Ovis aries: one gene and its partners. The protein of the gene in region 1 interacts with the protein of each later gene in a biochemical or structural test. Links are inferred from orthologs where the notes say so. Each region holds a gene or a part of one and is shown in the gene's direction. Other genes may lie near its edges. The genes, in order: SNCA, SIAH2 and SIAH1.

What was found.
Region 2: of the proteins of SNCA (region 1) and SIAH2, one has a biochemical effect on the other in vitro, tested with the Homo sapiens proteins (4 studies listed by BioGRID). The link is inferred for Ovis aries from reciprocal best matches to the Homo sapiens genes SNCA and SIAH2.
Region 3: the proteins of SNCA (region 1) and SIAH1 form a complex in vitro, tested with the Homo sapiens proteins (3 studies listed by BioGRID, with this or other methods). The link is inferred for Ovis aries from reciprocal best matches to the Homo sapiens genes SNCA and SIAH1.

The regions. Positions count from the first base shown.
Region 1 is NC_056059.1:35,550,258-35,553,912, forward strand, and holds part of SNCA (alpha-synuclein), read left to right. Parts: intron 1-1,401; coding exon 1,402-1,544; intron 1,545-3,655. UniProt on the Homo sapiens protein: Neuronal protein that plays several roles in synaptic activity such as regulation of synaptic vesicle trafficking and subsequent neurotransmitter release.
Region 2 is NC_056054.1:238,088,382-238,092,136, forward strand, and holds the start of SIAH2 (E3 ubiquitin-protein ligase SIAH2), read left to right. Parts: upstream 1-1,368; 5' UTR 1,369-1,683; coding exon 1,684-2,112; intron 2,113-3,755. UniProt on the Homo sapiens protein: E3 ubiquitin-protein ligase that mediates ubiquitination and subsequent proteasomal degradation of target proteins.
Region 3 is NC_056067.1:16,326,992-16,329,700, reverse strand, and holds the end of SIAH1 (E3 ubiquitin-protein ligase SIAH1), read left to right. Parts: intron 1-219; coding exon 220-1,070; 3' UTR 1,071-2,206; downstream 2,207-2,709. UniProt on the Homo sapiens protein: E3 ubiquitin-protein ligase that mediates ubiquitination and subsequent proteasomal degradation of target proteins.

The DNA.
Region 1 (3,655 bases):
AGATAAGAATGCAAGACCCAGGCTTTATGAGTGTAAGTGTTATAAGGTTTTAGTTCAGTTTAGTTGTTCAGTTGTGTCTGATTCTTTGCGACCCCACGGACTTCAGTATGCCAGGTTTCCCTGTCCATCACCAACTCCCGGACCTTGCTCAAACTCATGTCCACTGAGTTGGTGATGCCATCCAACCGTCTCATCCTCTGTTATCCCCTTCTCATGCGTTTGATCTTTTCCCAGCATCCGGGTCTTTTCCAATGAGTCAGTTGTTTGCATCAGATAGCCAAATTATTGGACCTTCAGCATCAGTCCTTCCAATGAATATTCATGACTGATTTCCTTCAGGATTGACTGGTTTGATCTCCTTGCTGTCCAAGGGACTCTCAAGAGTCTTCTCCAATACCATAGTTCAAAAACATGAATTCTTTATAGTCCAGCTCTCACATCCATACATGACTACTGGAAAAAGGTTTGGGTGGAGAGTTGTCTTGTTTCCCTTGACCTTGAAATTGTTAAAAGTGTAGAATCTCATCTTTAACTGCTTTTTCATAAAACTCTTAATTGAAACAGACTTTTTTTATTGCAGCTTTGTTTATTTGATATTTGTCTGGAGTTAATATAGAAAGATTAATTCAACAGTTATATATAGTCTTGGATAATTTTTGACATGAGATCGAATCTCTTTCTAAATCTAATCCCAAACTATTTATACCATCATCTTAAAATTTAACTCATTTTTAAAAGCCTACCGAATCTCCATATCTTATTTTTAATGAAAAGAAATTAAGTGTGCTCAACAAACAATTTCATTTCATACTTTAAGTCCAGCTCTTTTGTTCCCATTAAAATGACTGAAAATAAATCTTAACACTAAAACTCATTCTGTTTCAACTACCTGATGCTTCATAAAAGGATCAGCATAGTCATCCCTCCCTCTGTTTTATTTCTGATGGTACCATGTGAGAGCGTGTATGATTCTGTGACTCAGAAGGTGTGATGAAAAAAACATGCTGAGTGAGATCAAAGACTTGGCATTGAAATTGAAATAAAGAAATATTTCATGCAGAGTTTGATACAACTACACCTGCAAGCCTTGCTTTCTGTAAACTTTCTTTCATAAAATGTAAACCAGAGTGAAATTGCTTATAGCCCTAAATTTGTGATCATTAGGCTTGAAACACCTTTAAATATCTGCATGATTGCATAGACTGTCTTGGCAAAGAATCTGTGTTTGGCTAAGCCACGCTCACTTAGCAATCCCAGTAACTTTTTCTTCTCCTGACTCACCAGTTATCTACGTGTGTGAATATAGGTCTTTGGAAGTTGATGGTTAGTGGAAGTGAAATTATTCCTAGTGGCTGTTGGTCCACCATCCCTTAATCTGTCATTATTTTTGATTCATCCCAGTGGCTGAGAAGACCAAAGAGCAAGTGACAAACGTTGGAGAGGCAGTGGTGACAGGGGTGACTGCAGTGGCACAGAAGACAGTAGAAGGAGCAGGGAGCATTGCAGCTGCCACTGGCTTTGGCAAAAAGGATCATCTGGGCAAGGTAGGACTGTGTACATCTTGTTCCATTTCTAAGCTTGTGGATCACCATTGCATTTTCAGCAAGGCACAGAGGCAAGAATAAGATGCTTACTTGCGGGAGAGCTGACTGAGCTTCCCTCATTAAAAAAAAGTACTCCCTTTATATGTATTCTTTTTGGAGAAACTCACCCAGATAAATACTGTGAAAATCGCACAATAAATGTGATTGTTTTATTTCCTGGAAAAAAAAAGTTAATGAAATGAACAGTGTAACAAATGTTTAAAAGAGCCGTGACATTTCAGAAAGAATGGGTGCTTTTATGTTGGCTGTGAATCTTGGAATTTTTCTTTGTTGGAGTATAGCAAAGGCTTTGTGCCCAGTCTCTAAATGTTCAAAATGAAAATCTTTTACTTAATTTCTTTATAGTGACATCATCTCTTATTAAATGGCATATTTGCTTATTATATAACAATTCACTGCCAAATATATGTTTGTGGAAACGGAGGGGCTTGAACAATGATCATGGTTTTGGGGTGATTTTAAAATTCTCAGAATTCTTACTTTTCCTTTCTTGACAAATATGAGACTCTAGGAAAATTATCCAAGAGTTAGGACTTTCATTTTAAACAAATAAGCAACAGAAAATGAGGTATCAACTGGAAGATGAACATTTTACAAAATTCATCACCATAAGCAGATTCTTTTTTTTTTTTAATTGAAGTATAGTTGATTTATAATGTTGTGCCAATCTCTGCTGTACAACAAAGTGACTCGGTTATGGTCGTATATATATTCTTTTTTATATTTTTCCCATTATGGTTTATTCCAGGTGATTGGATATAGTTCCCTGTGCCACAGTAGGACCTTATTGTTGTCCATTCTAAATGTGATGACTTGCATCTACCAGCTTCCAACTCCCAGTCCATCCTCCCCTCTCCTCTCCATCTTGGCCACCACAAGTCTGATCCTATGTCTGCGAGTCTACTTCTGTTTTGCAGAGAGGTTCATTTGCATCCTACTTCAGATTTCACATATAAGTGGTGTCATATGGTATTTATTTTACTCTTTCTGACTTCGCTTAGTACGATAATCTCTGGTTGCATCTGTGTTGCTTCAGATGGCATGATTTTGTTCTTTTTTATGGCTGAGTAGAATTCCACTGTATATATGTCATGCCTTCTTAATCTGTTCATCAATCAATGGACGTTTAGGTTGTTTTCAAGTTTTGGCTATTGTGAATAGTGCTGCTACAAACATAGGGGTATATGGGTTCTTTTGAATTATAGTTTCGTCTGGGTATATGCCCAGGACTGGGATTGCTGGATCATATGGTAAATCTATTTTTAGTTATCTGAGGAACCATCATCGTGTTTTCCATAGTGGCTTCCCCAACTTATATTGCCACCAACAGTGTAGGAGAGTTCCCTTTTCTCTACACCCTCTCCAGCATTTATTATTGATAGACATTTTAACAAAGACCATTCTGACAGATGTGAAGTGGTACCTCATTGCAGTTTTGATTTGGATTTCTCTAATAATTAGCAATGCTGAACATCTTTTCATGTGCCTTCTAGCTATCTGTATGTCTTCTTTGGAGAAATGTCTATTATGGTATTCTCATTTTTTTGATTGAGTTGTTTGCTTTCTTATTATCGTTGAGTTGTATGAACTGTTTGTGTATCTTAGATATTAAGTCCTTGCCGGTCGCATCATTAGCAGCAGAATGATTTTTGTTTTTTCCCTGCCACAAAGGCTTCCTGGCTATTCTTTAAATCCATATAGTGTACCCTTGCCTTGACTCTTCCCACTGTCTAGAAAGCTCTTCTCCAGTGTAAGTAACCCTGACTCACTCCCTTATCTCCTCAGGTCTTTGCTAAATAACACCTTCTCAGTGAAGCCTACCCTGACCTATTTAAAATTAGAACCATTCTCCTTACCTCTGGTGTTCCTAATTTTTCTACTCTTTTTAAATTTTTGACCAAAGCATTTATCACCTTTAGAAATAATAACTGGCTTAATTATTTTTATGCATATTGTTTATTTTATTTCTTCCCTTCCCTTCCCGAAATGTAAGCACTATGAGGATAGAAGATATTAGTTTGTTCACTGATATTTCACAAGTGTCTAGAAGA
Region 2 (3,755 bases), on another chromosome or scaffold:
TGTAATCTTTCTATATACCGTGTATAAGACTAAACTTTCTTCTGGCTTCTAACAGTCTATTTTTTGGACAAATTTTATTCACTGAGGACTCATTAATATTATTAAACATTCCCTAATACTACTTTTTAAAAATAACTGCTAAACTTTTAACCAGCTATTATGATGGGCCAGGTTCTTGGCATATAACAAACTCATTTAATCCTCACTATCCCACCCATAAGATAGGTACTGTTTTTATTCCACTTTCTCAAATGAGGAAACTGAGGCACAAAGAAATAAAGAACTTGTCCAAAGTCACATTGATGGTAAGCAGAGGCCCATTTTTCACCTAGTCTTTACCACTGCCTCTCCTACAAAGAAAGACCTGAGTCCCAGCTACATAGTTCATTGCCTCAATTCCAGTGTCAGTGGGTCAAAGTTGCAGAAAAGCAATTCAACTCCGTACACGTTAACTTGCGGTTCTCACTCCAGGGCTTCGGCTGAGCGTGTGGGGCCAGGGCCCACACCTTGCCATCAAAGTCTTGGACTTCCGCGGGATCTCAAAGATAAAGATGCGTTATACTGGAGCATCATCCATTGTTTTCCCGGGGTTTCAGGACCCTAGCCGCATTTCTGGCATTCTTAGATTCTGGCGATCTCGAACTCCTTTTAGTTAACTCTGTCCGTGAACTCCCTCCCTGGCCCTCTAGCAAGTCAGAGGCGCTCAACTCAATTCAACGAAGGCTTTGGCAGGGCCAATGGTAAAAGACTAGTTTACCTCCTTTCCCCCTGGGAAGAGCAGGACCAAAGAGTGGTCCAAACATATCCTTAACATCCCAGCACTAGGTCCTGCGCCCGCTGCAGACCCATCCCGAGCCCCTTGCCCTGCTCCCGCCCAAAGCTCCGGGTCTAAGTAAGAGCCGTCCTGACCGCGGTCACGCCTCCCCCGCGTGCTGCTGACTCAACCCTGGGAAAAGAAACCTCTCGGTTTTTTCCGACCTGTCCCTGGGGCACCCGCGTCCCGCCCCGCCCCCCCCCCCACCCAAGCCCCCGCCCCGCCTAAAGTTATCCTTCGGCTCTGAGCCCGCGGAACGCGTTGGCGTGACTCCCCGGGGTGTGGCCGAAGAACTCAGGCGACGCCTTGCCGAAGGGCGGACTCCTCCGCGGCCCGGAAAAGGAGACCCCGCGCGGCGGCAGCGGCGAGCCGGGCATGCTCACTGGCGCGGGCCGGGACCGCAGCCCAGGCAGGAAGCGCTGGCGCTAGGCGGTCCCCAGCGCTGCCAGCTGGAGTCGGGCGGAGCCGGAGCTCCAGCTCCGGGTGGTTCTGCCAGTCCCCGCGCGCCCGGGCGGCCGCACACGTGTCCAAGCGTCACGTCCGCGCGCGCCCCCGGGGCTTGCGTCAGCGGCCGCTCCGGTAGCTGGTGGGCCGGGGTTCTGCGCGCCGCTCGGCTTCGGGGCCGCGACACCGCCGGGAGGAGGAGTTTGGGGGCTCGAAGGGGTGTTCGGAGCGCCGGGGACCGCGGAGATCGTCAGCGCGGTCCAGCCCTCCATCCTGCCCGGCGCCGATCGTCTCCGCTGCTCGGTCCCGGGCTGGGCGCGGTGGCGTTGCCCAGGAGCCCGCCGCCCGCGGGGCGCGCACCGCCTTGACCCCGGCGGCCCCGCGGCAGGCAGACGCCCGCAGTTCCATGGTTGGTTCGGAGCGCAATGAGCCGCCCGTCCTCCACCGGCCCCAGCGCTAACAAACCCTGCAGCAAGCAGCCGCCGCCGCAGCCACAGCACGCTCCGTCCCCGGCTGCGCCCCCGGCCGCCGCCACCATCTCGGCTGCGGGCCCCGGCTCGTCCGCGGTGCCCGCCGCGGCGGCGGTGGTCTCGGGCCCCGGCGGCGGCGGCGGCGGCGGCGGCGGGGCTGGGCCAGTGTCTCCGCAGCACCACGAGCTGACCTCGCTCTTCGAGTGCCCGGTGTGCTTTGACTATGTCCTGCCTCCCATCCTGCAGTGCCAGGCCGGGCACCTGGTGTGTAACCAATGCCGCCAGAAGTTGAGCTGCTGCCCGACGTGCCGGGGCGCCCTGACGCCCAGCATCAGGAACCTGGCTATGGAGAAGGTGGCCTCGGCAGTTCTGTTTCCCTGCAAGGTAAGCCCAGGTGCCAGCCACGCACCACCGCCCGGCGACCTCCTGGGACTCCTGTGTCCCCAGCCCATTCGCGGGCGCTGAGAGGCAGTGGGCTTCTCTCATTAACTGGGGGGGAAAAAAAGTTTACACCGTGTTCGCCCTCCCCCATGCCACCTGTCCACTTTGGGAGCAGCTCTGGGCCGACTGCTGCCCGATCACTGACCCCAGCCTGATTGGCACGCGATCACGCTGTCCCCACCCGGAGCCTGCGTACTCTGCAGACGTGTACTCAGCCTGGGTAGAGCTGGGCCGCCGAAGGAAAACTTGGACCCAGAAGCTGACTATCTGTGGGGGACAGAGGAGAGGGGAAAGGAGCGAATTAAACGCACCCCTCGCCAGCGCTGGGCTTGGAAGGACTGGTCCTGGATTCCTCCTGCCCCCCCCCCGCGTCTGCCTTCTGCGCACCCCTGACACGTGGGAGCCCTCGGGAGTGTAGCTAAAAAAAAAAAAAAAAAGGGCGCCTACAGCCTGTTTTCCTCCAACAAGAAAACCTTGTAAGCCACGCCTTTCCCTCTCCTAGCCTTCCAAGGACTGATGAGTTGTGTTATTTTACTAAGTGGGGAGAAAACAAGAGTTGATGGGGAATTTAACTGGAAGGGCACGCAGGAGCTGTTGTTACAGTTCTTTAAAGCCCACCACTTTATTTTTTGTTTAGTTAAAAAATTATCAGTGCTCTTGCAAAAGAAAAAAAAAAAAGGGCACATCACTGAGACAAGTGAAAGACCCAAACGTCTCCTTTCCCACCAATGTTAGGTTTAGTATGCATCTGCATGGAGTTTTTTCTAACCATGTATAAATACACTCTCCGCAGCTGAATATAGAATGGTCGATGTTAATGTCAGGAAGGTTTATATATGCACACGTAAGTTTTTCTCCAAAAATGGCTTCTGCAGCTTGCTGACTTAAGTTCGTTTCATCACACATGTTTTTATATGTCTGCAGCCTAAGTCTATCTCATTGTATTTTAAATGGCTGCATAATTTTGCATTGTGTGGTCATACTGTAACATCAGTTTACATCTTTTGGGTAAAAATCTTCAGGAGCAGTTTCAGGAGCAGATAGAGACGTATCTATCTATATTACCGCATTATAACCTAGAATTTTACCATACATCTCATTTTTTAAACTTAGAAATAATGTCATTAATATTTTTGGAGTTTTTTTGGTAAAGCGCTTCATGGGCCATTTAGGCTCTCTGGCATTGATTTCTCTTTGCTGCTGCTTACTTTTATAGGGCAAGGGCTTATTTTTAAATTAAAAATAATCCACCAGAGAACTGAAGCTTGGGACGAATGTCAGTAAAATGAGTGATTTAATTTGGTCTGTGTCCTGCCACAAATAGGGTTTAAAATAGCATATTCAAATAAGCGTTTGAACTTGTGTTTGAGCTCTGGGTTTTCAGTCAACCCTAATAAATTATCATGCTTTGAACCACTCCTCATGCAATGCTTACTAATGCACCCAGCCCAGTAGTAGTTTGTCATAAAATTTACACAAAACAGTTTCAAAATTTTCTTAGGGTCATGAACAAGGTGGTAGCCTAGTGACCAAGAGAAGATTTGGTGATTAGTGACATAAGAGTGGATATTTGAGGTTTGAGATAT
Region 3 (2,709 bases), on another chromosome or scaffold:
AACATTGTGAGAACAGATTTTGTCCAGTGCACAGTGCACATATTTCGTGTAATCTGTGTTGTTTTAAACCCTGTTTGTTTTCCTTTATTTTGCTTACAGCAAATTTTACACTAAACTTAAGTATTTTAGGCAAGTAAATGTTATTTATATAAAACATGTTATAGTTGTAATTAATTTTCTCCTGCCTCCTTATACTTTTATTTGTGTTTTTTATTACAGAAATGAGCCGTCAGACTGCAACAGCATTACCTACCGGAACCTCAAAGTGTGCGCCGTCCCAGAGGGTGCCTGCCCTGACGGGCACAACTGCCTCCAACAATGACCTGGCGAGCCTCTTTGAGTGTCCGGTCTGCTTCGACTATGTGCTGCCACCTATTCTCCAGTGCCAGAGTGGCCATCTGGTTTGCAGCAACTGTCGCCCAAAGCTCACATGTTGTCCAACTTGCCGGGGCCCGTTGGGATCCATTCGCAACTTGGCTATGGAGAAAGTGGCCAATTCAGTACTTTTCCCTTGTAAATACGCCTCTTCTGGATGTGAAATAACTCTGCCACACACAGAAAAAGCAGACCACGAAGAGCTCTGTGAGTTTAGGCCTTATTCCTGTCCGTGCCCTGGTGCTTCCTGTAAATGGCAAGGCTCTCTGGATGCTGTCATGCCGCATCTGATGCATCAGCATAAGTCCATCACAACCCTGCAGGGAGAGGACATAGTTTTCCTTGCTACAGACATTAATCTTCCTGGTGCTGTTGACTGGGTGATGATGCAGTCCTGTTTTGGCTTTCACTTCATGTTGGTCTTGGAGAAACAGGAAAAATATGATGGTCACCAGCAATTCTTTGCAATTGTACAGCTGATAGGAACACGCAAGCAAGCTGAAAATTTTGCTTATCGACTTGAGCTAAATGGTCATAGGCGGCGATTGACTTGGGAAGCCACTCCTCGGTCTATTCATGAGGGAATTGCAACAGCCATTATGAATAGTGACTGCCTAGTCTTTGACACCAGCATTGCACAGCTCTTTGCAGAAAATGGCAATTTAGGCATCAATGTAACTATTTCCATGTGTTGAAATGGCAATCAGACATTTTCTGGCCAGTGTTTAAAACCATTGCATTTGATTTCACAGAGAATAAGGCACCTGTCTGCCTACCAACCAAAAACTTGTGGTAGGTGGAAGCTAGACACATGAAGGTAAATAAAAGGAAAGGCTGTTAAATACAGGAAACAGTTGCATGTAATAACACTAATATATTTAAAAATAAGTCAACAGTAAACCACTGAAAAATAAATATATATATATATACACCCAAGATGGGCATCTTTTGTATTAAGAAAGGAAGCATTGTAACATAATTCTGAATTTGTGTTTGTTGTAGATTGAGTGTACCGTTGAAAAATACTGGGTTCTTGTTTTTTTGTGTGCCTGTGCGTGTGTGTGTGCGCGTGTGAGTATGTTTGGATTTTTTTTTCCTTCAACTGACAAGCCATGTTGAGTGGTCTTGGACCACTGCTTTTCCCCTATGTGAGTCAATACATAGTGCTGCTGTGTGTGTATATTTTTTTTCTGTGTGTATTTGCTAATTTTTATTAATTATAGTTTTTCATTAAATAAATTTGACTTTCTTTTCTGTAATTCAGGTTTTTCCTCACTTTTTTTTTTGTACCTTTTAAAGTTAGTGTCTTTTTGATATGCATAATTGTTGATGGTAAAATTTATACATGTGTTCGATACATATTTTCTTTTCCCCCATTAATCAGTTCATTAGAAATATTTTAAATTCAACTGTTTTGTGAAGATACGAGTTTCAGAAAGGAACATCAGAAGAATTGTCAGAAACTAGTTAAAGCAGGAAAGATAACATCAGAAGAATTATCAAACTAGTTAAAGCAGCTCTAAAATGGTCTCCCTCTCTTCTCCAGTTGAGTCATACCTTCAGACTTATTCTTTGTAAGGTTAGGGAGTACTGATTTTTTTTTTTTAATACTGGGGAAAAAAAAAATCAGGCTCTCCGTTCCCCCCACATATCTTGGACAAATCACATATGTTTAAAATTTGTTCTTGTGTTTATTGGTTTTGCAAAAGAAGGCATCGTCTCACACAGTATTTGTAATTAAAAGCAAATCATTTGTTTAAAAAGCAGTTTGCAAAAAAATGTTTTTGGTCTTTTATAATTCTCATTAAAAGAATATCTGGCAAATTAAAAACTCTTACGTGTCTGCTTTAGCTCTTAAGTTTGAAGATAAGCAAAAGAATGGGTTATGGCCTCTGTTCGGCCTGCAGTCTTTTCTTCCTTTCTCAGCTTTCATTTTGATTCTCCTAACTCTATTAGGAGGCCAATTAGTTAAAATACTGATCACTCCCCCACCCCCAACCACCCCCCCCACACCCCTTTAACAACAAAAAAATGAGTTAGTGTTCTGCCGCCTAGTGGTTAGAGCCTAGCTTCCGCAGCCAGCTTCCAGGGACCTACATGCCTGTGCTGCCTTTACTCACTAATCAGCTGTGTGATGCTGCACCCCCGGTTACTGGTGTGTAAAATGGGGTTAATTGTGGTAGCTACCTTCAAGGGTTAGATGGGATGGATACAAGTTACCAAGGACAGTGCTCTGCATTAATAAGCACCCAGCAAATGTTAGATACTTGTATTATGCCTGTAACTAGCACCATATAGTTAACTGTTGCTAGTTACCCTGAAGCACCTAGAAAG